Elephas maximus indicus: one gene and its partners. The protein of the gene in region 3 interacts with the protein of the main gene of each other region in a pairwise test. Links are inferred from orthologs where the notes say so. Each region holds a gene or a part of one and is shown on either strand. Other genes may lie near its edges.

Region 1 (7,733 bases), on a different chromosome or scaffold from region 3:
AGAAAATTCACTTATTTGAAAACCATGTTTCATCCTCTTTAAGTGGGAGGAGGGGTGAAGAACCAACACAGTGAACGCCTGTTCCAGTATAATATATGCTTTATGTATTGTAGATAGATAACAGACACAAGTCCTTTCTCTCTTTCAATTTAATTTTTGTATAATATGCTATATGCTGGGAAGCCAGGGGAGCCTTGGAGGTGCAGTAATTAAGAGCTATGGCTGCTAACCAAAAGGTCGGCAGTTCAACTCCACCAGCCGCTCCTTGGAACCCTGTGGGGCAGTTCTACTCTGATCTACAGGGTCGCTAAGAGTCGGAATGGACTTGACTGCAAAGGTTTTTTTGGTAAGGTCTGGGAAACCAGATGATGAGGTTAGGGAGGGGTATAAAAAAACATGATGTGAACATAAAAGTCTCAGTGGTTCTTCATGGGGAAAATGGTAGAATTCCAGTGAAGAGTGGATGAACTCCACTTTAGCTGCTCACTGGTCTTTTTACACCAAGAAGGGAACCTAGTGAGTACAGCGACATGCAGGCAAGTCAAATTTATCCTTACCCTCCCCCCGCAACGGGCCACAGTGCAAGAAGTTGTCCCAGGACACCAATTTTAGACTAAAACATTACATACTGAGAAAAATAATCAGCACTAAATAAGAAATTATACTATCCGATGATATCTTGTCTACCATATTTTGCCCCCTAGGCTCGGGCCAAGAGGTTTGCTCTGGGTATGTGGCTTTATAACGTATGCATGCACCTTTATATGGACATGTTAAGACATGAAAGGTGGGACAGCTGGGGCACTTACTTAGATTATTATTTTATGTGTTTGGTCAAACGCTGAGATGTGGCAACGTGTTAGACTGCTCTGCTCGTAGATTTTTTTCATTTTAATTGCGTGGTGTTGGGGGTGGGGTGGTGAAGTATAATTAAGCATTTGAGTCCCCTGAATGGTACCCACTGCTGTCGAGTCGATTTCCACTCACAGTCATCCTACATATAGAAAAGAACTGCCCCACAGGATTTCCAAGGAGGAGCTGGTGGATTCAAACTGCCTACCTTTATAGGTTAGCAGCTGAGCTCTTAACCACTATGCCACCAGGGCTCCCTTTGAATGGTGTAGTTCCTTCAATGTCATATACATTATCAACACCAAAACTGCCCATCTGTTAACCATAAACAACTTGAAGATACTGAGACTGGAGAAATAAAAGGCTATCAGACTCACAGATCTCAGCAACAAAGGCCATAAAAATATTGACTTTATTCTAGTTTGAAATTTAACTGAAGGGATAACACAAAACTTTCACTTAGCTATTGAAGTGCACAGTCATCTGGTTAAGGAGGGTGGTGGGGAGAGGGCCTCCCCTTGAAGCTCCTACACTGCGTTAAAAACCCACTGCTGACAGAGTTCTTGAGCATGCCCTGAGTACACCGCGCTTGGTCCTTGCTTTTTCAAGATCAGCAGACTCAAGCTGCCTTCTGGTGTGATTGTGCTTGTGGTAAACTCGCACCTATCTTTCAATGTCTGTCTTCAAATGTATGGCTACAGGTGGAATGGGGTAGGAAAAAGAAAATGAGACTACATCAATAAGGTTATCTGCAGAGACTCTCACAGTAAGAACCAGACAAACATGTGTAATTCAACAGTAATTAGGGAAACTTGCTGAAACTCTGAACCAGGACACTAACACGCCAAACGCTCAAAATCATAGGGAAAAATATACTCAGTCAACTTTAATAGAAAACAGACATCATGTCCTTTAAGCTACCAGCCATAACTTTTTAGAACAGAGTTTATATCGGCAAAGAGCTCGTTTGTAGTAACTTTATCAGCTAATACCCGACTTACACATCTGAAGACTCTTCCGTCTTTTTTTGGGGGGGGGGGATGGTTAGATGGAAACAAAACCAAATGGAAGAAAAAAGCATTTCCGTCCAGAGTTAAGCCACGCTTCTTTTAATGAATAAAAGGCTTATCTGTGCACCTATAAGCTAACACTCCTGCAACCCCACTGAGCTGCTGTCTTCAAATAACAATCTGGCTTCAAAGTTTCGCACTAAATCAGAGAGCTGATTTCTGTAAGACGCATTTGCACCATTAAATCTTTTCTGGGATGATAAAGGTCTCTTTGCTCTTGATGTGGTATCTTCGCAGTCCATGTGTGAGCAATTTTTGCCATCAATATTGCAAAGGTAGCTTTTCGGGGGGAGGGGGCGGGGGCGGTTCAATCTGAAAATGTCTTGCCTAGACTTCCACTATCCTCTTCCCGACATAAACCTGCCCACCCCTTTAATCCCCTGCAAGTTTTAAACTTTGTTTCCTTTAGGGTTCTGTACAAGCGCTCCTAAGACGAGCCAAGAGACAAAGAGCTGTGCTGTGGGTTAACGGGGTGCCAGATATTAGTTGTGAAACAAAGCGGTCAAATTGGAGACGGAAAATGACGACGACGAGGGTGGGGAGGGCTGCAGAACCAGCAGGAGCGCGCGGGCCGTCTCCCCGGCCAGCGGCCCCTAAGGCGGACCCGCGCCGGGGCTGCGGCCCCGGGACAGCCGCGCCCAGTCCCGCCCTGAAGCCCGGCTCGGGCCGCCCCCCGGGGCCCCTCCGGAAGGGGCTGCCCCCGCCGGCCCGCCCGCCCGCCCGCCCGCGCCCCCGCGCCCGCGCCTCTCACCGCTTCACGCGGATGATCTGGTCCCGCATGGGCTTGATGTCCTGGAAGCTCTGCTGGTTGACCAGGCTGTAGACCAGGATGAAGCCCTGGCCGTTCTTGATGTACAGGTCCCGCATGGAGGCGAACTGCTCGGTGCCCGCCGTGTCCAGGATCTCCAGCACCGACGGCGACGAGTCCACCTCGATCTCCTTGCGGTAGAAGTCCTCGATGGTGGGGTCGTACTTCTCGATGAAGGTGCCGGTGACGAACTGCACGGTCAGGGCGGACTTGCCCACGCCGCCCGAGCCCAGCACCACCACTTTGTACTCGCGCATCGTCCCTCCGCCGCCGCCGCCGCCGCCCCCGCCGCCCGCGACATAGACTACGCCCGCCGCGCTGCGCCCCCGGACCCTGCCCCGGCTGCCGGCCCCGCCGCCTCCCGCGGCCGCCCCACCCGCACGGCCGCGGCGGCCCCCCGGGCGGCGGCGGCGGCGGCGGCGGCGGAGGGAGCGGCGGCCCTGGGCATGGGCCGAGCCGGGCGCACTGAGGGCGAGCAGGGAGCGCAGGGAGCGCAGCCGCCGGAGCCGCCCGAGCCGCGGGCCCGCAGTGCCGCCCGCCCGCCCGCCTGGCCGCCCCGCCCCTCGCGCCTCCACGCCCAGCTCCTCGCCCGCCGCCGCCGCCGCCGCCGCTCCCCTCGGCGCTGGAGCGCGCGCCCGAGCCCGAGCCCGAGCCCGAGCCCGAGCCCGAGCCGCGGCGCGGCCGGGGGCGGGGCTCGGCGGCCGGGGCGGGGCCTCGCGGCCTCGCGGCCCCGCCCCGGCCCTCGTCGTCTAGGCGACCAGCCGCGCGCGCTCCCCGGAGGCTCTGCGCAGCGCCGAAGCTTCGGCCCGCGCTTAAATAAACAAGCCCCGCGGCCACTCACCACCACCCCACCCGCACAGCCCACCGCGCCCTGGGGCCTGTGTACTGAGCATGCCCAGTTCGCCTGCCGGAGTCTCGGGTCTTGGCGGACACGGACGCTAGCGGGGCCAGGCCAACCTAATGCAAGCAAAGCAGGGAAGACGTGGGCAGGGGCTCTGCCTGACACCGCCCAGTCTGTCAGTATTTCTCAGGGCTTCGCTGTGGGGATGAAGCTCTGTGTAAGGTGAGGAGAACACCTCCGGCCTTCTGCCCGAGGTTGCATAAACGTAAGGAAAAGCAGCTTTGTTCCCAGCGGCAGAGCAATGACGGACAGGTGACAAGCACCCACGGCCGGAGGAGCTGCTCAGCAGCGGCCACACACACCGCCGAGGCAGGGTTCACGCCTAGCGACGTCGACGTGGATCCCATCCACCTCCCCTCTAGCCCCGCCTCCCACTGAGCGGGACTGAAGGCGAGCTCTTCCCACGCCCTGTCAGCTGCGGGCGCAGGAAAAACCCGGAGCGCGGAGCCCTGCGAGGCCGCCAAGAACACCAGGGATGCCTCAGCAACAGCCGGCTGGAGCATTGAGTAGGAAGCTTGGATTCATTCCAGCCAACCACAACACGTCTCTATACCTCGTGGTATCACTCAGGGCCAATAGGGAGCCGCCTAATGCCACGTGACACCCTTGCTTCAGCCAATAGGGAAGAAGTCTAGTTGCAGGCTCAGCCATCCATTTCCGTATGCCTCTCCAGGCGGGGCGTTTGCGCCTGCGTACTCTCTGCCAACCAATCGTAGGCGAGCTGGTGAATGACGCAGGCTTAGGTTGAGCCAACCACAACTTTCGATTGTCTTGCTACAAAGGCCGGGTTGTATGGAGACGGGACTCAGGGCTGGTGTGGCTGGGGAGGGCGTCAGTGATTGAGGGCTTGGTCGCTGTGGCTTCCTCTGGCAAAGCAACGAGGGTTGTTGCAGAGGAGGGTGATGAATTGAGTCTCTGTGGCGTTCTCCTTCAGTGATGGGCGTGGAAATGGTGTTGAGGGATTGGGGTGAAGGTGGGCTGAATCGCGAAAACAGAAATTTTCCTGTTCTTGAGGAGGCATCGTGCAGCAGTTATGTTGGTCCTCTCTGGGTGCCTCCTAAGGCATAGGGTGTGTGTGTGTGTTTTCCTGTTTTAAAACTTAGGTTATGTTTCGAGCATTACAGCTTAGGTACCCTTCTGCACCCACAGCCCCAGACATCCCTGGATTATTTTTGTAATAACTCGTTGTTGGGTTTACCACCCATAAACTAAGTCCTTCTAAAAGTAGTCTACTCTCATCCATTACTCTCTCACATCTCTTGGGAATAATAAATCCTTTTTTTATAGTCATAACGTTTGATTCTGGCGTGCCTCTCCACCATTACTTTTATACCCAGATTCGACAGTGTCCTAATGCCTTATCACTCCACTAAATTAGAGTGGATGATTCATATTCGCGTTATCTCGCTATATATATAAGATATATATATACAATATGTATATGCACACACACACCACCCTAAGTTTTTGTTTAAGACAAGGAAGTGTCCTGTCAGAATTAAAAGTGTGTAGTAAAATATGCCTCAGTCATTATTTCTTGATTATCATCGAAATATGAGTGTTATATCTGAGTCAGTAGGTTCAGCAGTGTATGAAGGCAAATTGCAAAAGAACTAAGAGGAATAATTTAAAAGAGACAGAAGAGGATCTGATATCTCAACCGAAGGTAGTAATGTGAAATAGGAATTAAAATTGAGAGAGCTCAGTTGAATGCTTCATATCTGAGCACTTTGGCAGAGACATTTCAGGAGGATGTTGTAGGTAAATGCACTGTTCACCTGGCATTTCAGAAGTCTGGTATTTTGTGTGAAACTAGTATTCTTATTTGTAGGTACATGAGCTCAGTCGGTAACAGCTACACTTCTTTTCTAAGGAAAGACCGACTGTCTTTTAAGGTCTGAATTGTCTAACTTGGTGATAATAACTTCCTGGGCTTGGTGGAGGCTAAGGAGAGCCAAGGAGCTTCAAAGTTCTGTCTTTGTGTAGATCATTACAGCCCGTGCAGTGCCTTATGTCGCAGTGGAGTTGAAAATCTGTTCCTTTTGCGAGGAATAAAAAAGGCCCAGTGACTTTTCTTTTTTGAGAAATTAGTGTTGGGATTGTGGGCCCAGTATGTAACCTTAAGCAATTGTTCTCCTTAGCTTGGGTTCCCAGACAATTAGGAGGCTCTGGATTAGAGTGCATCAAACAGAAGTTGTAACAAATATAGGAAGTGGGCTCCTTAGTCAGTCTGCTTCGCATAATGGAGCAGGAGAGGTGTTTGGCATGTCTCAGGCTATTCCTCTGACCTTTCACCGGTGCTGACCTTCTGATAAGCAGAAGTGTAGAGACTGCAGCCCTTGGAGTAACTGCAGTTTGTTTATAGTTCTGATATGGACAGGCCTCAGTTTGCATTCTCAAGTGGCATGAAGTAACTTTTTAACCACTAGGAGGCAAAGGAAATGTGACAGGCAGGCACATGCTTTCTTATCTGTTCTGGCTTGGATCCTGGTACTTACCTGATTGGTGGCTCTATGTGCAATCCTGGCTGAAGGACTAGCAGCCGTAAGGAAACATGTCGGGACATACAGAGAATTTTGAAGATTTGTGTGGGTAACGGCTGTCTGTCTCCTGGTCCCTTCATCATGTGCATTCCTATGCCAGCATCATCTCTCTGTTCTGAGAAACTTTAGAAATCAAAGCTTCTGCCCCCATTTCTTTGTGAGAAAGGCAAAATAAAATTGAGATAAAACAAAATTGAATTTTCGTTTAGAGTTATAAATCTGTGTTAACACTGCATGCTGACCTGCTGGGTCCCTTTAGTTTCTGAAGTGAATTTCTGGGGGGGGGGGTGGGGGGAGACTTGGTCTCTCTTCTCTCCACTGAATCTGAGAGTTGTCTTAAACCAAAACCCACTGCTGTGGAGTCGATGCCGACTCACAGTGTTACAGAACAGAGCAAAACTGCCCCATAGGGTTTCCAAGGAGGATTTGAACTGCCAAATTCTTGGTTAGCAGCCCTAGCACTTAACCACTAGGCCGCCAGGGTTTCTGAGAGTTGTCATACCTATGCCCAAATACCCTCAAGTGCCATCCATGCGTTACCATGGAAACCCAGCTCCTTTCTTCCAGTGAAAGACGTTGGAAAGGTGTAATGAAGTGGGGATACACTGTGTTGTGGGACTTCCTGACATCAGCAAGAAGCAAATATGCAGAGACTTTAATATAAACAAGTTAGCACAGGCCATGTGTAATATGACCGTTGATCTTGGCTGTAAAACCCTGGTTCCTGTTGATTCCTGTTAAAGCTCATCTCCGATTAACCATAAAAGGCAGGGACAAACCGCGTACATTAGCACCTGTGGCACCCTGCTGGGAATTAGAAGGAGAGCAGAAGACATTGTCTTGTTCTTTGAGAAATAGAAATAGGTTAAAAAGTGGGAAGGAAAGGTCAAAATAAACCTGTTCCTCTTCAGAAATTTGGTACGTTCCAATGCTTTTGAAAAGATAAAGAATCACAGTGCAGAGATTGAGTATGTAAACAAGTCAGTGAAAGAAGCCTGTGGGTTGGGAAGTAAATGTCTCTTTGAAAAGTCCATTTTAAGAAGAAAAAATTTCTGAGAGGAAAGGCTTAAGGATTAAAACATAGGGAGAAAAAGACTGAAAAGTCTTAACTTGGGGGATTTGAGAAAATGAGAGTTTTAGTGTGGATCATTCAATATAGCACAAGTGTGGCCACAATGCCGCTTGCCTCCTGAATGCTTGCTCTTTCTTTTTCCTCGGGATGAGTCAGGATTTGTCATTAATGTCAGTCCTTTCCTCTCTGAACACACTTAGCCCAGAAGGAGGCACATGACTCAGCTCTTGCCACTGTGTGGTCCTTTGCCCACTGCAGAAGTTGGGGGGGATAGTCCATACCAGACCACCTTCACTTCTGACACTAATTGCAATTCAAGGGATCCCCCAAACCACCCTCAGTTTTGAAAATTCACTGGAAGGACTCACAGAACTCATGGAAAGCTGTTATAGTCATGGTTACAGTTTATTTCAGGCAAAGGATACAGATTTAAATCAGCCAAGAAAGAAGTGCATAGGGCCAAGTCCAGGAAATGCACCAAACACCG
Region 2 (6,963 bases), on a different chromosome or scaffold from region 3:
AGCCTCATGCTAGATTCAAGGACTGGGCTCCTGGTCACACATCGGTGGCAGCTCAGCAGAAGTGAGCGTGGCTAACGCACCTGCTCGCTGCTCTGGCAGCTGGCAGCAAGCATGCGGGTAAAGATGAGCTGCCCCATGGCCAAAGGCCTCCTGCTGGCAGCCAGCATGCCGCCCGTCCCACGATTGTCTTCAATACCTTTTCAATCAGTGATATTGACCTGCCCTAAACATCTCTGCATCCCAATTGCCAACTTAACACAACACGTTGTGAAAATATGCTCGGCAAGTAAAGAAAAACACTTAGATATGCTGATATTTTACCAAAAATTTGAAACAGTGCTGAAAACCAAAGTAAGAGAAGACGTGAGGAAACCCACCAACAAAAAGGGGGTGAATTAAAAGATGCAGACAACAATCTTTTGTCAAAACACATTTTGTTCAAGTATAACACAGGAAATATATCCACGGCATTGCAAGTAAACTAACAGTGTGGCAGCCATCCTCCCAACTAACGCGCCACAAAACTGGTTCAGCTCCTTTCAGAGTAAATGGGTCCAGAATTCTCCCCGTTACCCCATGACCCGAAGAAAAGCTATTCCTAAGACAACTTCTGAAAATAATTAGCTCTACTGAAAAAGATGTCTACTGACAAATCCAATTTTTACAAATTTGTCACTATTTTTGAAAGTTCAAACTTAAAAGATACCATTTCTACAACCCTTAAAAATATATTATCAAAATGAACAGGGAACGCGACAAAGTTAGAGATGAACAATTATTTGAGATTATAAACTAGAAAACCAAGCGAAAGTAGCATGTAAATCCTCTCCGGAGCCTTCACTCACTGTGAAAATGGAGAAATGAGGTGGCAAAAGCTGAAAAGTGATGTGGCAGGTCACAGGCTAAGCCCCATACCCACCTTGTGAGGGTGCTTCACATGGACACAGAAGCCCAGCTCTTTGAGAACTCGTCTTTCCGCCTTTATAATTTGGTTCTTTAAATTAACATAATCTTGATCTAACAGTAGAGGCACAGGTTTCCTGCAAAGACAAAGCATGCGGCCTGCATAAGAGTCAAATAAAACGAGGTCTTTCAAACCCCATAATTACCTCCAAAGAGAAGACTCTTACAAACACTACCAAGGCAGACGTTACTGGAAAGTGAACTTCAGTTCCTCTAGCAAAATCACAAAGTCCTCCTCAAACCCCAGTGCTAACTTAGTATCTTTTCTCAGTCACCTTCCCCTGATGCATAATAAACACCAACTAAATATAGTGGAGGGTCTCAGGGTCTCACCACAGAGAGGCTGGATGTACTTCGCATGATCTAAAACACATGTGTACACGTTTGAAAATAAATGGAAAACTAGACAACCGATGAAAGGATGACATTTAACAAGACGGAGCTGTGTTTTCCAAAGGAATTCCACCTCCTTTAGGAATACAAAGTCTAGCTAGATGTAATGTGGCTCTCGATCAGGTGCAATTTTGCTATCCTAGGGACAAGTGGCAGCGTCTGAAGACACCTGTTGGCTGCCACACTGGGTGGGGGTGCTACTGGCATCTACTGGGTAGAGATCAGGGATGCTGCTAAACACCCAGTGATGCACAGGACAGTCCCCTGCAACAAACAACCACCTAACCCCAAACATCTATAGTGTCAAGGTTGAAAAACCCTACTCTATGGCATTCAGAGACATGTACTACACAAGAGATGGATTGGGGTGTGACTACATGGGTGAACCAGGAAGCCAACACCAGCAAAACCACAGCCACAGGGCCTTTGTCCTCCATGGTGCCATTCCCTCATTCACTAAACACTATCAGTTGATTATGACTTGGGCACCAGACTCTGTTTTGGGTACTTGGGAATATATTATTGAATAACCCACCAGTTTAAAACCTCACACCCTGAGCTTTGTTACAGAAATGTTATTGCAACTGAGTCATAAAAACAAAAAGAAATTTTGACACTTCTAGCAAAACTTACTTTTTCTCTCTAAGGTGTCGGAGGCGATGAAACACATTGATGACGTCTCGTATCCGTCTTGGAGCCTCTTCAATTTTGGAGGCCAGGTGTACGCAGGCCATCGACACATGCTAAAACGTAAGCATTTCAACACAGAGTTGTTTGTTCTGCTCCTGATGGCCTCCAAAGACATAAAAAGAGCTTGGTCTACAGGACAGGTAGGCCCTCTTCTGAGCTACCGCCCTGGGTTTCACTTGGGGCTATGTCTATGGAGAAAAAGGTCCTTACCTCCATGGAATGCTTCACAAAGGACTTGGTATAAAAGAAGCGCTGGAACAACACCTGTCCGGTAGCCATGGCCACCTAAAAAAGAGTTTCCCATCATTTCCAAGCGCTCAATTCAAGGGTTTCATGGTTAAACACAAGTCACCGGGCTTGGTGTGGCTCCTGAGAGCGAGCCAAAACCAAATCGTTTTCCACAAAGGCTCGGCCACCTGGTCCAGGGAGAGGGTGGAGGATGGGGTCGCCCTGGGCCCGGCTCCAGGAAAGAGAAGTAGACGAGGGTCGCGCTGGGCCCGACTCTTGGGCGGAGGCCGCACTAGGCCCGGCCCAGCCACCAACAAAGGGCCGGGCCACCCCCGGCGTTGGCCGACGGTTAACCCGGCCCGAGGCTCGCGACAGCGAACTCACCTGCGGCAGGCGGAGCAGGATGCCGGCCGCCTGGATGAGCTCGCAGCCCACCACGCGGAGGCCGGTCTCAGTGTCGGTGTCGAGGCCGCTCGACATGGACGGCGTGAAGCGAAGCTTGTCGTCGGGCAGGAGGCAATTCTCCAAGGTGATAAGCACCCCGGAGTACAGCCTGTCCCCGATCAACACTCCCTGAGACCCGGGGGCTGCGCTCCCCGCGCCCGGAGCCCCGGCCGCCGCCACGGGGACCGCAGGCCCCGGAGCCCCGGCCGCTGCCGTCGCCGCCATTTTGTGCCGCTGACTTCCCTTCGGCTCCTTCCCGGCAGGGCGGCTCCTCGCGACGCTCTACGGCCACCGCCCAGCCTCGTGCGCGTCATTGGCTCAGCCTGCGGGCGGCCCGGCTCTGCCTGGCCGCGATTGGCTGCGCGGCTTGCCTGTCAGTGACGAGCCTGACGCCGACACCGGGAATCGGCGTGAGCGGGGGCGGGCTCGTTACCCAGGGGGCTTCGCGGCGTTTCGGGCGAGGCGGCTCCAACCCGGAAGTGGCGCGTTCTGAGAGCCCGCGGTGCGACGGCGAGCCGGTCCTTAGCCAGCGCGGCCCGCGTCCGCACTGAGACCCAGCGATGGGGAAGCTTGCGCGTCGCCACCCCAGCCGACACAGTGTGCGGTCCTGGCGGGTGGGCTCAGTCTCGGCGGTGCTGGGTGGACCAACCGCCAACCTGCCGTCCCCAGAGGGCCCTCCCGCCCTGTCCATCCCGGCTATGTTCTGGGAGGCTGCGTCCTAGTTGTGAAGAGCATGGTGGAGGGACGCGTGGAGCGTGGAAGTATGGTGTTACCTCCCTCGCGGGAGGTTGACAGGTGCTTGGTAAATCGCCACTAGTCCAGCGCCTGGCACGCAGCAATGGATACTCTTTGCTGAAATTAATACGTGGCGGCTAGTACGGTCATTATTTTCCAAGCCTAACTGACCCCAGGCACTGGGGACACAGAAGTAATACCAAGTTCTTGTCTTCAAAATGCAGTCCACAGGAAGAGAGATTGGTCAGTGGGTAACTGGAAACGTTGACTTCGATGTTGCTACAAAGCCCCTGACAGTTTGGTGGAAGGCAGAAGTTCCACAGGATTCCAGCTAGGGTTGGAGAGGAGGAAGTGAGGGTGCTGGGCTGAAGATGTCAGCAGGAAGCAAGCTGAGTCCAGGCACCTCATGGAACTGTGAGGAGCCATGGGAGGGGTGTAATGCATTTGTGACCCTCGTTTTCATTTGCTCACTTATAAAAGGCTTAGAGCTAGTGGCCCTGGAGGCCTTGCGCAGTTCTGGCCGCCTTGGGTCAGATCACCCACCTGCAGTACTGCCACTGCACTGCACAGATGAACAAATGCTGCGTTAGCCATCTATTGCTGCACAAGTCATCCCAAACTTTCACCAGGACTAGTGCAAGGCCCGTGTGAGGATGGCAGGGAAACCTGTGGGAGAGCCAGGGAAAGACCAGGTGGGGGCAGGTTCAGAGACTTTGAGTGGCCAATGGCATCATGCCCAACTCAAACTGGCTCAACGTAAAGGCCTCCATTGGCTCTAACCCCTGAAGACTCCAGATGTGGACTGACTTCTGGGGAGACTCAACCCAGCAGCTCAAACAATCCCATATGTGATGCAGTTTCTCCTCTCCACCTTCCATGGGCAAGCTAGTTTGAGTCCACCCACCTCTCTTGTTCCCAGCACACAGTACGGGAAAGGAGGAGGAAGTCCCACTGCTCCGGAAGGCCCAGCAATCATCTTGTAAATCCTCAGCCTTATGTGGGTTCCTTGTCCATTACCTGGACAGTGATCGGGCAGAGTGGAGAGAGCTGATGACTCCAGTCAGGTGCAGGCCTGGAGCTGGGGGCAAGGCCATTGATGCCTGCCTGCACTGAGGAAAATGTAGGTCTTAGGTCAGAAGGGGGGCAGCCTACAGCCCCATCTTCACTGAGATGAAACACACAAGAGAAATTCAATCCCCTGTCAAAGGGCGCTCTGTTGTTCACCCAGCTGTCTGCTCCCTGACGCTGTACTGACGATTACTGTGCAGTGAGTGCCTGTGTGTGCTGCCAGCACTGCACTCAGTGCCAGGAATCCGCAGTGCTCAACTCACCCTTGGCCTCCAGCCTCCAAATGTTCACAGTGTGGGGCCGTTGTATACAGAGGGACAAGGATCAGGTGGAGGGTTGCTCAGGTCTGAGCCAAGGTGGTTGCAGTGGGGGTGAAGACATAAAGGAACATGGACAGTGTGTGCTAGTAGGTGGTGGTTAGCCCAAGGGAGGGCCCCAGAATGGTTTCCTGGTGACTCCTGGCAAAGGTGAGAAAAGTACCGTCACCCACAGGGGAAGGAGGCACTGTGGGAGCCCCTGACCAGTGGCCACACAACAGAGCTGCTGGACATGCAGACTGGAGCTTGGGGAGTTGGTCTTGGCAGGAGACGTGAGGGTGCCAGTGAGTAAGCATCTGGAGGCCCAAGCCCTGGGAACAGGACCTCATAGGGCAAAAAGAGGCAGCCACAATGTCATAGGCTGTGGGAAGGGTAAGTGCCCACAAGGAGTAAGTGTTCCCTGGGATCAGAGAGGCCAGGGCTGGAGTGGCTGTGGGACCTAGGCTTTGGTGAGAGCAGCCAGAGGCACAGTGGGCCAACTGCCAGGCCAGAGGACAGGAGGCTGCAAGGGGACAGTCATTTGGCAGAGGAAGGAGAACAGGCTGTGATAGCAAAGGGGACACAGAAATGAAGGAGGGTTCATGACACATGTGAGAGGCCAAGGTTCCAGCTTCAGACCATAGGGAGGGCCTGGCCCTGAGCAGGGAGAGGCAAGGTGTGGATACCTCTGCATGGAGGTGCTCTGAGAAGAGGTCACTGCAGTCAAGAGGCGGACAGGGAGCCAGGCAGCATGAGGAGGGTAGGTAGGCCGTTCTCACTGGGAAGCTTACTGAGAAGGATTCCAGGTTGGACTTCATGGGGTATCTCAGGGAGGGGTGCCTATCTGCCTGTTGTGGGAGGACAGGACAGGCAGGTGAGAGATGGAGGGGACCACAGATGAACTGAGGCTGGCATGGCTGAACAGCAGGCTGCAGGGTCCCTGCTCCAAGCACCAGGAAGTGGGGTGGGGGGCGACAGATGGGATGAGGCCCAAGCCAGGAATGAGAAACCCACCCAGGGGAACTTGGCAAAGACGGAGAATGCTTGGCATCAGAGCCCAGGCAGTACATCCTGGGGGTGGCAAGGGATGCCCGACATGAGCCCAGATGCAGGTCCAGGAACTGGGAAGGTAGGTACAGGGCAGGCCACCCCATGCCCTGGAGGAAAGCTGGGGTCCGTGTGTATAGGCCTGGCATAAGCCCCCCCATCTACAGAAGACAGATGATCTAAGATTCCAAGGGAGAAAACAGCATGCTCAGGTGCATACTACAACCCAGGACCTCGAGGGCATCCCTGGGCAAGTGCACCCCTCAACTGAGTACACCCCAAACCCCAGGCATTCCCAAGGCAAAGTGAGCACAGACCCCCACCAAGGTGCAACGCTCCCCCAGGCCAGGGCACCCCAAGGTAATTGCATCCCTTGGGATGCCCTGTTTGCAAGAAACACAAATTGCAAAGCGGAGCACCATACAAGGTTTATTTTTATGATCTACATAAGACAAGTCTGTGAAGCTGTTCCAAAAGGAGGAAAGACAAGACCTTTCTCTCACACTGGCTAATAAAATATAAATAAACATTTGTAAATTGACTTAGAAACTGTTGGCTAAAACTTTCCTCTCACTCCTATTTTAGTTGTATGACCATTGTGGGGAAAAAAATTTCTTAAGTCATACACTGGCACTACTCAGCAGTAGTGCACCACGCGGGAGAACACGCCTTCAGGCTCCTTCCCATCCCCCAAGGCAGCAGCAAATCCCTCTTCTCGCCTCCTTTTGGCCAAAGCTGCCAAAGATTTAAAAGTCTTTGGCTCGTAAATGGCCAGGTCTGCAAGCACTTTCCTGTTGAGCTCCACCTGGCACTGGGAGAGAAAGCAGCGGAGACAGCAGTCAGGTTCAGGACTGTGTAGTCAGGGACAGACAGTAGTTAGGTTCAGAAGAGCACCTCAGCAGACTGAGTGCAACACCACACGGCCACCCCTCACCCAGTTATCCTGTGTATGGTATGTCAACACCATGCTCACACAGGTGAAGCCATGCTAAGGCACCAAGGAAGCTGTGGGACACGGGGAAGAAGGCAAGGCCAGGATCTGGTCCTGGGGCCAGCCTGGATGCAGAGACTTCATTTAGGGCTCACAGTCATCACCCAG
Region 3 (7,468 bases):
CTGAATAAGGTTAGAGGTCCTTGTGAGTAATGGCGTGGAGGAGGAATACTGGAGGGCAATGTGAGTAACGCTGGATGGCTGTTCTAGCTGATGTCTACGGTCATGTAGGGTGAAGTCGGTTATCCCTGCATCTTCTGTTGGGGATCTTTGGGGATAATGTTAGAAGGTCATGGAGTGTATTGCGGTGAAGGTGTGGATCAGTGGGTTAACGCTGGCGGTTAGCTGAGTTGGATGCAGTGTCAGGAAAGGTGATGTTAGAGTCATGGGAGTGACATCACTTGGGGGTCCCTGAATGATGGGTTTCGCTGACTTGACATGCTCTGAGTGGGGGGCAGGGGCAGGGCGGCAGCGCGCTCACAGCTGCTCCTGCAGCTCCAGGATCACGCCCTCCAACTCCCGCTTTTCGCGCTGGTTCTGCGCCGCCGCCTCCTCTAGCTGCAGCTGCAGCCGCCGGTTCTCCGCCTCCAGGTCCTTCAGCTGCGACTCGCGCAGGCGCACCAGCTCCTCCAGGTAGCCCTGCGGAGCGCGGGCTCAGCCCGGGTAGAGAGGACGCGGTCCCCGCTGCCGCAGCCACTGGCTGGGCAGTGTCCCCAGCACCGCCACACCCCCACCCGCCGCTCGGCGCGCACCTTCTGCGCGTAAACGATGCGAAACTTCTGCTCCATTTTGTGCCACTTGCTGTACCAGCTGTCCTCGTCGGTGACGAGCGGCAGGTATGGGTGCTCGGGCGAGTTGTCCTCGCTCGTGCTGCTCTCGGCGCTGTGCCGCTCCTCCTCGTCCGTCAGGTAGTCGTAGCTTCGGTGAGACAGCAGTGGGCGCGGGCCAGCCCTGCCCCACTCGCATCCCAATCCAGACCCCTCGGGCAGTGGGACCAGGTTAGGATACTGGCCCGGCCGTCCCCAGTCCCGTCACTGCCCCTCAGACCATCACCCGAGGGTCATCTGAGAGTCACCGGAGCTTACCGCAACTCCAGCTGCTCACCTCTGGGTGAACTTCAGGTAGGGCGTGTAATCGATGACCACAGGGGTCTTCCCGTCCAGCACTTCCCCCTTTAGGCAGAAGCTGGGGCAAAGGAGCCACAGGGTTGGGGCCGGGCAGGAGGGAATAGGGGTGTGGAGATTCATGGGGGAAACACCCCCCTCCAGCACCCTGGAGAGCCCCACCTGAAGTCTATGGCGCTCAGTCCTATCAGCATCCCTGTGAGGACGGTGGCTTCCTCCCGCAGCATGATGGCTCCGGAGTCATAGAATCGTCTGTGGGACAAGAGAGGGACTGACGGCCCAGCACCCTCCTCCTCCCAAGTCTGCACCCCTCAGGACTTCTGCTGTCTGCCTCCCAGTGTTTCCTGGATCCTGTTGCCCCCGTCAGACTGGGGCTTGCTGGGGATAGGACCTGTGTCTCCCAGCTATTAGAACGGATGTTACCTGAGAATAGATTCCCCTCCATCATTTGAACTGCCCCTTCCCACCAAGTACTGGGTCACCCAGATCCTCAAAGTCAGGGAACAAGTGTAAATCATTAGCACTATGCCTATAGCAGGGGCTCAAAAAATATGTTGACCTGAATTCTGAAATGTGAGGACAGACAGGATAAATGCAGTAAAAGGTCAGGCTGGGCATGACCACCTTGGGGGTGGAGGGTACATGCCCCTACTACATCCAACAGCTTCAAACACAGGGACCCAATCTTTCTGCAAACCCACAGTCCAGGGGCTGAAACTGCTCACGGGACTGTCTAGTCCCAGTAACAAGTACAGAACTGCTGCAGTTATCTGGGAAGCAGGTAGGGCTGTGTGCAGAAGGTCATGGAACAAGGCCAACAAGTAAAGCCATACATGGCTGGGGCTTGTCTAGAGGTGTGTCCAAGGGTAGAGCTGTGCATGATGGGAGTGGTGGGAGATAATGGGACATATAATTTGACATAGAGGTGATGGGAGTAGTGCTTAGTGTGACTTCCAGGACCTCAGAACAGCCATGCTAGGAACAACCTGGGAGAGAAGCTAGCAGTTATCCCGGGACTTGTAGTCCAGGTACTGAAAGTTGCCACTGGAACTTAAAAATCAAGTGCTTTTAGACGATGACCATGCAAACTGAGACCCATGGCTGGGCTGACAGGCAGGGTCTGACCTGGTGGTCCGGGTGTCCCGTAGAGCCGTGGTGATATATTCTGACATGCGCTTCTCCATCAGTGCCACCCGGATCCAGGCCCGGCCCTACAAAGCAAGCTCACCTTCACTTGCAGTCCCAGAAAGACCTTGTGGCCTCCTGTCACCCCTCTCCCCAGTACCTGTGGGTAGGGGTGAAGACCAAGGAGCAGGCAGGCCTCCTGCATCCAGAGCCAGGGAGCATCACCCCAGCCCCACCCTGCCCCAGCCCCCATCACCTTGGCTCGGGCTGTGCTGATGTTCTCCATGTTCTCGATGCTGCTCACGCAGTTGTTGGGCACTTTGCTGCAGGCCAGTCGGATGTAGTCCCAGAAGCCCCGCTGCCCATCTGAGCTGAACCAGCTCACCGGACCTGCTGGGGCACAGGCTGAGCCAGGGCAGGGAGGGGGGCTCAGCAAGGCCAGGGAGTTTGGAGAGGGGCCATGTAATGGAGCACACACATGCCTACGTATAGGTTCCCATGCACATGCATAGTGCCCACCCCAAACGTGTGCACACACATGCATGCTTTCAGAGGGCACACCAGCATAAAGCTGACACCCATCAATGGGGCTGGTGGGCATCCACTGTGTGTGCCCGGAAGACCCCTCCCTCCTCCTAGCTCTACGCATGAGCTTCTGTGTAGGGCCCACGATTGGGGCCAGAGTCAGTGTGGGGTTCAGAAAGCCGTGAGTATATCAGAGTGGGGTGGCTGGACGTTAAGAGCTGGAAGTTGGAAGGGCTAGGCGGTGGGTGACAGAAGCCTGGGCCCACCTTTGAAACGGTGGCTGAGTATCTGCTCTAAGATAGCTGCAAAATTCACAAACTCCTCAGATGAGTCGTCGATGGGCTCGGCCGTGTACTTCTCCAGCAGTGTTTTCACGGAGAACCTACGGGGAGGGACGGTCAGTGTCAGGTAAGAAGACAGGGTAGGGAAGGAAGAGGAAGGTGTCAGGCCAAGAGAGACAGCCATGGGCAGAGAACAGGTGTGGATGTGGTGGGACGCAGAGGGAAAAAGAGGTGGGTGACAGGTGAGAATACAGTGACCACAGGGGGGCTATGACATGTGGAATGACAGAGTGGCAGGTGGGGAGGGAGGATGACAGGTAGGAGACTGATTGATGAAGTGGGTGACAGGAGAGGTGACAGCCAGAGAGAGGAAGCTTTGGGAACAAAATACGGGAGGAGATGAAACATTAGATAGAAAGATGGGGCACCAAAGCCAGGGGGCTCTCCCAGAGCCCCATCTCTGGGGATCCCCTTCCTCCTTGATCCCCCTTCAGTGTCATTCTCTATCTGTGTGACTTGGAGGTCACGCAGGAGGTAGAAGCCTGTTTGTGTCCTGCCCTGAGCTGGCTTCTGCTATTGCTGGGACAACCTGCTGCCCTTTCTGGGGGTGGGGGAGTCACCTCTGCCAGGGCATATGATTGGCACCGTGCATATGGAGCGTGGGCACTCATGGGTGGCCAGGTGGGCTCTCAGCAAATGAATACCCCTGTTCCTCCTTTTCTTCCCAGCTCGGCCACCCACACACCAGCTGCCCAGAACCAGGCAGTGCAGAGCTGGGGCGGGGTGGGGGGCGGGGAGCTGCAGGGTGTGGGTCTGATACACACATTGGGCCAGAGGGGCATTGGCAGCAGATCCCTGGGAAAGAGCTTGGAGGCTTGGACACCTGGCTTCTCAGAGTGGAGGGAGCTGAGGGAAGCCAGGAGGGCTGAGGCGCTAAGCCAGGTGGCCCCTGCCCCTCTCTCCAGTCCTGCTTGAAGCCTCAGGCTTCCCCTGCAATCCCTCCCCTGCAATCTCCACAGTCTGCAGTAGGGTGGGGCCAGGATGGGGATATGTCTTCCAACATCCCATTACTGCCCTGTTGTGGGTGACAGACAGGGATGGGGACACCAGGGGTATGGGGGCTGCTTGGAACTGTCGTTTTTTCTTTCTAAGTTTCTTAAGCCCTTATCCTGTACCAAGCACCATATTGTGCATGTATTATCTCATCCAGCCCTCACAGCAGACCTGGGAGGTAGGTCCTCTTTTTATCATCATCATCCCCATTTTACAGATAAGGAAACTGAGGCTCCAAGAGGTTGTCTGGTCTGTTCAGGGTCACTAGTAAGGACTCAAGCAGTTATGTCTGATTCCAAAGCCCTTGCTCTTTCTGCTACATCTGTGGCCTCCTGGGGGCTGTCATACTTAGGTCCCTGAGCAGCCTCTGACTTCCTTGCCCTCCACCCTACAAGACTGTATTCCTGGAGTACTGGCTTCTGAGGCTTTCAGGCCAATGGCACAGCTGAACCTATGGGGCCCCCTTCACTTCTCTTTGGGCTCAGAGTTGTTCTGGCCTGAGATTATAGCCAGGTAGGTCATGATTGGGGTTACAGTAGGGGGAGGCAGCCCAGTGGATTCAAATTCTGTTTTCTTGTAATACTGTGTGGCCTTGGACAAGTCATTCAACCTCTCTAAGCCCATCTTCCTGTGTAACAGTGATAATAGTACTTGTCACATTCAATGTTGGTCCCAGTCTTGGGCAGGGCTGGGCAAGGGGTGGTGAGGAGCTGGGCCAGTAGTGGGATGATGGCCCTCCTGGGAGGGAGTCTGCATTTAGGACATTGGTTGGGCTTCACTATGACCCTCCATTGATGGTTTCTTCTGGTCATCTGTGTCAGGCCTTGGTAGGGGCCTGGGGCTGGGTGCAGTGTGGCAGCCCTCTGTCATCTGTCCTCAGGGGTGCTGTACAGCTGGTCATCGCCCCTGGGAGCCCCATGGTGTGCGCCCGGTTAGGAGGTGCAGTGGCTGCTGTGGGTTACCATGGAGACAGGGAGGCCAGGGCCCAGGGGAACCCTTGGCCTGCTAAAGGGAGCTGTTCTGGGAGCTGGAGGCAAACCATGTGACAGTGATGAGGCAGCAGAGGCCCGAGGGATTTCTGAGCCTTTGTCATGCCCTGATGCCCAAAAATACTACCCTTTACCCCAGCTCCGAGCCCACCTCTGGTCTACCAGAACCTCTGCTTCTCCAGCCTAGGCCAGGGGAGTTCCCTCTTTCCTCTCCACAGTCAAGAGCGTCAGCTATCCTGGCAGGTAAGAGAAAGAAGAGGAACCTGGGAGGTCAAGAATGACGAGAGGGAGGAGAGGGGTGTCATCAGGATGTGGCTGTTTCTGTGAGCCTGGCACTGTGCTGGGCCCTACATGTATCTCATCAAAACCGTCCTCTGGGGTGTCTGTTACATCTGCCCCATGTTACAGACATGGCATGATGTACCCAAAGCCCAGAGTGGTCAGGAGACTTCCCCCAAAGTTATACAGCTAATAAATGGTGAAGAGCTGGAACCTACAACTATTTGGCCCCGAAGGCCAAAATCTTTGTTTTACACCACACCGGTGGGTTGGTGGAAACCCTAGTGGTGCAGTGGTTAAGAGCTTTGGCTGCTAACCAAAAGTTCGGCACTTCGAATCTACCTGGCACTCCTTGGAAACCCGATGGGGCAGTTCTACTCTGTCCCATATGGTCACTATGAGTCAGAATCAACTTGACGGCACTGGGTTTTTTTTTTTTTTTTTGACAGGTTGGGAGTGAGGGTGGAGGCAGCAGCCTGTGCTCTGGGCCGGGCCATAGCTGCACTTATTCTTTCCATGACATGGAAAGCATTTTGTGGAAGGTCTGATGTGCACAGCACTGTGCTGGCCGCAGGGCTATAACGTGTGAGACACACAGCATGGCTGGATGTGTGCCCAGGAACCTGGAAGGAGCTACAGGAGGAACTAGGGCATCAGGTGGGCGCTAATTCCTGGGGGAGGAGGCAGGGCCAAGGTCTGTGTACAAGGTAGGTGGGGCTGGCAAGAGAAGCTGGCTGAGATGGGGGCACCCTGCCCTGAGTGGGCCTACTCCCCAACACCTGGGGGGCCTGGGCACCAGGGAGGCTGCAGGTGGAGAAACCACTGGCATGGGGACCCCAGAGGGAGAGGGGAGTGTCCTTGGGGGTTGCAGGGAGATTAGCTGGGCGGCTGGCTGCTTCCTGGCTCCGGGCAGAACAGGGATGATGAGCCACTGCAGGGCTGAAGTGGGAAGGACCACTTCCTGGGCCCCAAGAGAGCCTGTGACTCTTCCCAACACTGCGACAGCCGCACCCTCAGGGACCAAGGGCCCTGCCTCCATCCTCTTCTCCTTGAGCCCAGAGGACTCAGGCTTCCATAGCCAGTCTTTGGTTCTTCCCGTGCCAGGGGCAGCACCCATCACCCTTGGCTAGCCTGACTCATGGCTTTGCCCAGCTGCCCAGGTGACCCTGGCCTAAGCTGCAGCTGCCCAGAGAGAGATGGAGGAGGGTACGGTCCCTGCTCCGAGATTTCAGCGGAGGAAAGTCTCCCAGGCAAAGCCCCACCGCAGAGAGGCCTGGCTGACAGGGGTGGGGGTGAGGGTACCCCGGGAGAGCATTCATTCCCCCCAGCAGTTCTCGGCTTGCCCCGCCCCCGCCCCCAGCAAACGAAGCCAGACATCCCTCCCCCTCCCCCTCACACAATGTCACTTCCTGGTTCTCACAGGAAGCTGCCGTGCCAATTAAAACCCCCCAACCCCCAAGACCCAGGCTGTGCACCGGCCTGCATAGGCCTAGAAGGGTAGGGACCAGACCTTCAAGCCCCTTCCCCATTCTGGGCCTGGGAGGGGCCGTGGACGCGCACTTTTAACCCTTTGCTTCCCTCGTTGTTCTCCCAGCTGCTGTGTCTCCTCCCGCGGACGCGCTAGTTTCCTCAGCTGCCCAACCCGGCTCCCTGACCATCCCGCCCCCCACCCGCCAGCGGCGCCCACCTGCACACGGTGATTAGGTTCCTACGCTCCACGGCCACGTTGCGGGAAGACGCTTTCTTGGAGGACAGCCCCAGAGCCATGGTGGTCTGGACAAAGCTTGCTTCCATCCAGATATGCGGCCACTGCTGCCGCCGCCCGCTGCCCCCCACCTCGCCCGGCGTCCCGGCCCCCCGCCGGCTCACGGCTGGGCCCTCTGCCCGCCAGGGCCCCTTGACCCCCCAGCGGCCATCCCCCTGCCTCCGCGCCTAGCGCCCGGCCCCCTCGCTCCCTCCCCCGGCAGCAACTCGGGAGCAAAACAAGGCCGGGGAGGGAGCTCTCCGAGGTGCTGAGCCGGGCCCTGTCACCCCCTCCCCCAGCCGCCCGCCCCCCTCGGCTGGTGACGTCAGGGCCCGGGGCCCCGCCCCCGGCAGGCCGGGGACCAATCCGCAGAGTGTGCAGGGTTTGTTGGGGACGGGGGAGGGGCCGGGGCTGCGGGGAGAGCCGAGGGGGTCCCCGGGAGAGGCTGGAATTGGAGCGGGCATCTGGCCT
Region 4 (7,933 bases), on a different chromosome or scaffold from region 3:
TTCATTGCTATGCCCTTATGTATCATGATCACTGTGACTATAACCTAACCATCCAGCCTTTAAGATTCAATGTAAAGCCTCACCTCCCAAAGTCCTTTTTGCCTACTAAGATAACCAAAACCAAAAACCAAACCCACTGCCATCAAGTTGATTCCGACTCATAACGACCCTACAGGGCAGGGTAGAACTGCCCCAGAGAGTTTCCAAGGAGTGTGTGGATTCAAACTGCCAACCTTTTGGTTAGCAGCTACAGCACTTAACCATTATGCCACGAGCTTCCACTAAGATAACAGTATCTCCTAATTTTCATGGCAACTACTGGTATCTCTCTGACATTTAACTTTTTGCCTCATATTATAGACATTTATCTCCTCTAAAGAACAGACTGACTCCAGGTTTGTTTGTTAAAAAACAGGTAGACCTACTAACCCACTGCCGTCAAATTGATTCTGACTCATAGCGACCCTACAGGATAGAGTAGAACTGCCCCACAGGGTTTCCAGGAAGCGCCTGGTGGAGTCAAACGCCAACTTTTTGGTTAGCAGCTGTAGCTCTTAACCACTACACCACTTGGAGATTTCTGGGTTTTATCTTGGATTTCTCACAATTCTATGGCCATCCGATACTTAGTAATCACTAAATATTCCAGGATCTGTCTTCCTCTTGGTGTATTACAGCCATTTCACCAGCATGCTCTACAAGTAGAAACCAAACGACGTACTGCACAGGGCAAACATGCTGCAAAAGATCTCTTTAAAGTATTAAAAAACAAAGAAAGATGTCACTTTGAGGACTATGATGCACCTGACCCAAGCCATGGTGTTTTCAATCACCTCATATTCATGCGGAAGCTGGACAATAAGGAAGATCGAAGCAGAATAGATGCTTTTGAGTTACAGTGTTGGTGAAGAATATTGAATATAATGGACTGTCAGAAGAACGAACAGATCTGTCTCGGAAGAAGTACAGCCAGAATGCTTCTTAGAAGCAAGGATGGTGAGACTTTGTCTCACTTACTTTGGACATGTTATCAGGAGGGACCACTTTCTAGAGAAAGACATCATGCCTGGTAAGGCAGAGGGTCAGCTAAAAATAGGAAGACCCTCAACAAGATGGACTGACACAACAGCTGCAACAATGGGCTCAAACACAGTAACGATTGTGAGGATGGGCAGTGCTTCATTCTGTTGTATGTAGGGTCGCTATGAGTTGGAATTGACTCAATTGCACCTAACAACAGTAGCCTTTTCTCACTGACTTTCAGCTGCAATACACAGTTTTGTCTTGCCCTATGAAAAACTAATCTACACTTATATTCCTCCTTTTCTTCTGTCTACCTTGAAAAAGAAAGAGTAAAGAACATATCAGAAAAATGAAGTTTAACTAGTTTAGAAGCAAGCATTTCTACAAGTAGCTGGTAAAGGATTTCAAAATATGGCATTTTGTCTTCCTTGATCTGTGGTGAATCATCTTACCTAAGCCTTTGGTACAAATGTTAAACACTAGACTGCTCATCAAAAGGCCGGCTGTTTGAACTCACCTACAGACTCTGTGAGAGAAAGATCTGCTGCCCTAAAGATTAAAAAAAAACCTAAAGATTACAGCAAAGAAAACCCTATGGGGCAGTTCTACCCTGTCACATGTGGTCACTATGAATTGCAACTGACTCCGAGGCAGTAACAAGTTCTAAAAAACAGTACACCCTACATAAACATCAAGGCAAAAATACATTCTTTAAAGATAAAGCTTTATGTAGCAGGACATTTGTTGAAATTAACTTTGTTGTTCCCTAACGTCATCAACTTAAGTCCACATGTGTTTATAAAAAGTTAATGGTATGGATTTGAGGACGATAGCTCTCTAATAAACCATACCCACCTGGAAGCTCTGAAGAGTTTTCAGAACAAATTAATGTTTATTTTCACGACCTTTTTTTTTTTTTTTATTGCTATTGGAACATCCACAAAAAGCCCCCAAATTCTGTCCCCTCAATAGATCTATGCAGTAATCTGCTTCCAGAAATAACTTATTTTTCTGGTCAAAATTCGAATCCCCTCATCATAGTAATATTACTTTATGATGATTAAAATGCACCAATTTCCCAATAAACTGTAGCTATAACTAAGCCCAACATTTCAAAACTTTTAGGACAGAAGTATATTTTAAAATGAGATCCCGGAACTACAGCTACGTGAAAATTAACTACCAATTCAAATCACTTGACGAAATCTGTACATCTATCTAAAAAAAAAAAAAAATCTATCTACACATTAGAAAATAAACAATAAGTTAAAAGTTTTTGTTATTATTTCTGGTGCTCTTGCCCATCCGATAAAATATGCTACGCTTCTAGAAAGTAACTACTTATCAAAAGACCAGGGAAACTGCACGCAAAAAGCTCACAACTTCTTGGAAAAAATGCTAGATATTTAAGTGTAAGAAAAACATTCTAAACGATCCGGCGAACAAAAGCACAAAGTCAAGCCCACTCTTCCCACGGTTCCGTAAAGAAAATCAAAACTTCGAACACTGCAATTTGCTTTTTAGAAGCCGTCCTGGGATAAAGGTCAAACGTTATAGTTTAGCCAGTTAAGCGTCAACTTCCGAGAGCTGACGCAGACGTCCCCCGGGTGCCGGCACCTCAAGAAGCGATACACAGACCTCTTTGTCACCCAGTTTCATTCCTTCACCTCACTCCTTCCCACAGCCGAACTCTGCTGTGCTAACTAACCAGGTCAATGCTAAACTACCAGTACACCTCCTGCCCGGGCTGGGGCCAAACGCCCGTCTGCCTCACACGTGCGTCAGGCCTAAGACTAAACGCACCGCCCTTCGGCACCCCCGGCACCTCACGCGCTCCGACGCGTTCCGCCGGCTCAAAGCCGCCCTTACCTCCTTTACCGACAGAAACTCAAGCAGCGGAAACACTAGATGCCGATCCAAAAAGTGTGCGATTCGAGTAGTCAAGTCGTACTCCGCCATCTTGCCAAGGAAAAGGGAGTCTGTACTCATCAAAACTTTATTGATAGCGGTGACAAGGGAACGGACAAAACCAGTATTGCGCATGTGCAATGCTTACACCCGGGAAGGAAAAGGGGAGGGGTTCAGCCAGGCGCGCGCCGAGAGGAATGGCGCATGCGCACGAGTCCTCCCTTTACCTGGGCAGGACGTGAGCGGCGGGCCCGGTCTCTTCTATTTGCCGATTGGTTAGTATCCGCCTCCTGTTGCAGGCCTACGATTTACAAATCAATGACCTGAAATCCGTTTGTTAATAAAATTATTGAAAACTCGGGATTGGTTGCTGAGACGCTGTTTCACTGGGATGCGGCAGAGGACAAGGAAGTTACATGCAAGAAGGAATATCTGAGCTAATATTTGACATATGGTAATCGTTTTGTAGGAACCTTGGTGGCGCAATGGTTAAGGGCTGGGCTGCTAACTGAAAGGTGGAGTTGGGGGAAGGGGGGTTCTGGCGATATGTTCCCGTAAAAATTATAGCCTAGGAAACTTTATGGAGCAGTTCTACCCTCATATAGGGTTGCTATGAGTCGGAATCAACTCAACACGCAAAACAACAATCATATTGTAAGCTTCATATAAAAACTGAAGTTTTCTGGGCAGAAAACAAGTGAAATTATTTCACACTCTAAAAAAAAAAAAAAAGAAGGGCTAAAACTTTGTGATGGATGGTTGGGCTGGACCTATTAAGGTGGTTAGCAAAAACTGAGATGGGGTAACAATTTATCTGAGAGTTGGAGTAAGAGAAAGAGTTTTTTAAAATGAGAGCCGGGGTAAAAATATTCCTGGTGGAAGGCACAGGAAAGACAAAGACCATGAGAGGAGAGGACTTGGTGTGTTTAAAAAACTGAGAAGCCTCTGTGACTGAAGAGTGAGTTAAAGAGGTTGAGAGAGACCAAGTCAGAATTACGGTAAGGCATTTGGATTTTATTCTCCTTTACTGATTACTTCTCATCGTTCAAACCCCTGGATGCCAAGTTCATGCCAACTCCTACCAACTCTATAGGACAGAGTAGAACTGCCTGCTAGGGTTCCCAAGGAGCAGCTGGTGGATTCAAACTGCTGACCTTTTGGTTAGCAGCAGAGCTCTTAACCACCGGGCCACCAGGGCTCCTCTCATTCAAGCATCATTCAAGCATCTTCATTTTGGAGTGCCCCAGGGGGTCTTGCACATCTTCTCCAACTACACCAGTGCCCTTAGTGATAGCATCCACCAAAAAACCAAACCCATTGCCATTACATCATTTCTTACTCAGCAACTAGAGGACAGAGTAGAACTGCTTCATAGAGTTTGCAAGGAGCAGCTGGTGGATTAGAACTGCTGACCTTTTGGTTAGCAGCGGAGCTCTTAACCACTGTGCAACCAGGGCTCCAATATCATCCAATCTGGCTTTAAATTCCATCTACACATTGACAGTGTTCCACTGCTATTCATAAGGTTTTTATTGGCCAATTTTTTAGAAGTAGATCGCCAGGTCCTTTTTCCTAGTCTGTTTTAGTCTGGAAGGTCTACTGAAACCTGTCCACCGTGGGTGACCCTGCTGGTATTTGAAATACTGGTGGCATAGCTACCAGCATCACATAAGCCACCACAGTATGACAAACAGACAGATATTGTGAAGAATGGGGATTCCAGAACACACAATAGTGCTCATGCGGAACCTGTACATAGACCAAGAGGCAGGTATTCAAACATAACAAGGGGATACTGAGTGGTTTAAAATCAGAAAAGGTGTGTGTGTCAGGGTTGCATCCTTTCACCATATATATTCAATCTGTATGCTTAGTAAATAATCAGAGAAGCTGGACTATGTGAAGAAATGTGGCATCAGGATTGGAGGAAGACTCATTAACAGCCTGCTTGATATGCAGATAACACAACCTTGCTTGTTGAAAGAGGACTTGAAGCACTTATTGATGAAGATCAAAGACTCAAGCCTTCAGTATGAATTACACCTCAACATAACAAAAAACAATGACTCTCACAACTGGACCAATAAGCAACATCATGATAAATGGAGAAAATAGTGAAGTTGTCAAAGATTTCATTTTACTTGGATCCACAGTCAATGCCGTGGAAGCAGCAGTCAGGAAATCAAATGACTTATCGCGTTGGGTAAATCTGCTGCAAAGGACCCCTTTAAAGTGTTAAAAAGCAAAGATGTCACTTTGAAGACTAAGGTGCACCTGGCCCAAGCCATGGTATTTTCACTTGTCTCATGCATTACAAAAACTGGGTAATGAATAAGGAAGACCGAAGAAGAGTTGATGCCTTTGAATTTTGGTGTTGATGAAGAATATTGAATATACTGTGGCCTGCCAGAGGAATTAACAAGTCTGTCTTGAAAGAAGTACAGCCAGAATGCACCTTAGAAGCAAGGATGGCGAGACTTTGTCTCACATACTTTGGATGTGTTATCAGGAGGGACTAGTCCATGTAGAAAGACATCATATTTGATAAAGGAGATGGTCAATGGAAAAGAAGAAGACCCTCAGTGAGATGGATTGACACAGTGGCTGAAACAATGGGCTCTAGGATAACAACAATTGTGAGAATGGTGCAGGACCAGACAGTCTTTCATTCTGTTGTGCATACAGTCATTATGAGTCAGAATCGGCTCGATGGCACCTAACAACAACAACAAGATACTCTACGGTCTCACCCCATCTGGAGCAAGGGAGAATGAAGAAAACCAAAGATACAAGGAAAAGATTAGTCCATGTGACTAATGGACCACAGGTACTACACCCTCCACCAGACTTAGTCCAGCACAACTAGATGGTGCCCAGCTACCACTACTGACTGCTCTGATAGGGATTACCATAGAGGGTCCTGGACAGAGCTGGAGAAAAATGTAGAACAAAATTCTAACTCACTCACACACACACACACACACAAAAGACCAAACCTAGTGGTCTGACAGAGACTGGAGAAACCCCGAGAGCATGCCCCCCAGGCACACTTTTAGCTCAATAATGTAGTCGCTCCTGAAGTGGCACCTAACAACAACACATTGACAACTCACAAATTATGACCCCAACACAGACCGCTGGTTAACTCCAAACTCGCATAGATCCAACTGCCTGCCCAATATCTCAACATTAACATGTCCGAAAACAAACTCCCCCATGTAGCTCACCGAAACTTGCTTCTGTTCTTTTCTGGACGTCATTGAATAGCAACTGCATCTTTCTAGTTGCTCAGGTCAAAACTTTAGAATCGTCCTTGGCTTTTACGTTCTACATCAATTTTACCACCAAAGCCTTTCAGCTCTAACCTCTAAAACAAGAACAGTGTCAGTGAGTGGTGGATGAAAGGCTGTTTGGAGTGGGTTCAAAAGAGGGGAGGTGAGGAGGTGAGACAAAATATACAAACACATCTTTTGAAGAATTTTGCTAGAAAAGGAAGTAGAGAAATAAAATGGTAGATACTGGGTCTCAGGAGGGTGTCTTAAAAGGTGTGTGTATGCTGATAGACGTGATTCAGTATTTATGTAAGTATCTGTAGTGGAAGGACAGAATGTTTTGAGAAGCTCTATGGAATATGAGAAGAGCATGGCGTCCAGTCAGGTTGGCCCCAAACAGAGATTGATTCTCAATGGGGAGGGAGAAGATGGAAAAATCTTAGTGGATTGTATGTTTTCTATTGGGACGGCTAACTTTTAGAATAGATCTGGAGGAAAGCATTTCAAGTGGTTCAGGAACAATTTGAACACTGCAGATACATAAAGACAGGGAAATGTAAGACATATTAGAGAAACATAACTTGGGAAATAACTGCTGAATAGAGACTAGAGCAGAGGATAAGCCAGGAAAAAAAGACCAATGTCAAATAGTAGAAAGCTTATGTGAGGAATTTTAAATTTATCTTAGGTCATGTGGAGCCTTAAAATATTTTTGAGTATGAGGGCAAATAATTATATTTGTGTTTCAGGAAGGTACTTCTGACAGCGTGGACAGTGGATTGAGTAGGTGAAATGTGGAAGGTTTTCAAAACTAGGTTGGAAAATTTTTTGATCAGGTAGGCAATGGAAGCCACTCATTAAGTTCTGAAATAGAAAACTAATGAAGAAAGTGATGTTTTGTACTTTAAAATTAAACTGGAAGTGATTTACAAGATGGATTAAAGTGGTGACAGATTGGAAACTCTGCTGATTTGCCTGGCTTTTCCCCTGGAATTTTCCTTGCTGGTTTGTGAAAATATCTTGTTTCTTTTTATAAGAGAGATTTAGCCCCAAATATGGGAAATGGGAAATCTTATTTTTGTGCTTTAGTCTCTTCTAAGTCTTTTAGTTTAGAAGAGACATCAGCTAGGAAAAGCAAGCAAGGCCTTACCCAGCAGTTTCTTGGTGGTATCAGATGTAGATTCTGATTCTCAAACATTCATCAGATACTTATTGAATGCTTTTTTGCTGGTCACAATGTCAAGCTCTGGGGAAACTTGGGAAATAACCAATGATTAGAGGCTATAGGGGAGGATAAGCCAGGAAAAAAAAAAGACCAGTGTCAAATAGTAGAAAACTTATGTGAGGAATTTTAAATTCATCTTAGGTTATGTGGAGCCTTAAAGTATTTTTGAGCATGAGGGAAAATAATTATATCTGTGTTTCAGGAAGGTAATTCTGACAGTAGTGTGTTCCATGGATTGAATAGGCGAATTCCAGCCTGCAAGGAGCTTATGGTTTGGTGGGAGTGGTACATATGAAAATGTAAAATAATCATAGCACAATGTAACAGGGTCTATGCATGAAGTGCTCCTGAGAGGCCACGGAAGACAGTACTTCTCTGCCAGAGAAAATCACAACTTCATGAGGAAGGTAACATTTTAGTACCTGTTATTGTTAAGGTTGTGTGTCAACTTGGCTGGGCTATGATTCTCAGTGGTTTGGCTGTTATAATGTAGTTTGGCAGTCGT

The links.
Region 1: the proteins of RUNDC3A (region 3) and RAP2A interact in binary tests that used the Homo sapiens proteins (3 or more experiments, as listed by UniProt). The link is inferred for Elephas maximus indicus from reciprocal best matches to the Homo sapiens genes RUNDC3A and RAP2A.
Region 2: the proteins of RUNDC3A (region 3) and CCNL2 interact in binary tests that used the Homo sapiens proteins (3 or more experiments, as listed by UniProt). The two-hybrid records come from large-scale screens. The link is inferred for Elephas maximus indicus from reciprocal best matches to the Homo sapiens genes RUNDC3A and CCNL2.
Region 4: the proteins of RUNDC3A (region 3) and EIF3E interact in binary tests that used the Homo sapiens proteins (3 or more experiments, as listed by UniProt). The two-hybrid records come from large-scale screens. The link is inferred for Elephas maximus indicus from reciprocal best matches to the Homo sapiens genes RUNDC3A and EIF3E.

What each region holds. Positions count from the first base shown.
Region 1 is NC_064832.1:92,112,036-92,119,768, reverse strand, and holds the start of RAP2A (ras-related protein Rap-2a), read right to left. Parts: upstream 3,011-7,733; 5' UTR 2,988-3,010; coding exon 2,674-2,987; intron 1-2,673. UniProt on the Homo sapiens protein: Small GTP-binding protein which cycles between a GDP-bound inactive and a GTP-bound active form. In its active form interacts with and regulates several effectors including MAP4K4, MINK1 and TNIK.
Region 2 is NC_064821.1:39,994,456-40,001,418, forward strand, and holds the start of CCNL2 (cyclin-L2), read right to left. Parts: upstream 3,015-6,963; 5' UTR 2,944-3,014; coding exon 2,659-2,943; intron 2,332-2,658; coding exon 2,257-2,331; intron 2,100-2,256; coding exon 1,990-2,099; intron 1,041-1,989; coding exon 920-1,040; intron 1-919. Other genes in the region: MRPL20 (39S ribosomal protein L20, mitochondrial), read right to left, coding at 6,502-6,675. UniProt on the Homo sapiens protein: Involved in pre-mRNA splicing. May induce cell death, possibly by acting on the transcription and RNA processing of apoptosis-related factors.
Region 3 is NC_064837.1:50,816,765-50,824,232, reverse strand, and holds the start of RUNDC3A (RUN domain-containing protein 3A), read right to left. Parts: upstream 2,918-7,468; 5' UTR 2,776-2,917; coding exon 2,383-2,775; intron 2,213-2,382; coding exon 2,127-2,212; intron 1,254-2,126; coding exon 1,164-1,253; intron 1,063-1,163; coding exon 982-1,062; intron 796-981; coding exon 630-795; intron 517-629; coding exon 359-516; intron 1-358. UniProt on the Homo sapiens protein: May act as an effector of RAP2A in neuronal cells.
Region 4 is NC_064833.1:34,017,737-34,025,669, reverse strand, and holds the start of EIF3E (eukaryotic translation initiation factor 3 subunit E), read right to left. Parts: upstream 3,016-7,933; 5' UTR 3,013-3,015; coding exon 2,893-3,012; intron 1-2,892. UniProt on the Homo sapiens protein: Component of the eukaryotic translation initiation factor 3 (eIF-3) complex, which is required for several steps in the initiation of protein synthesis.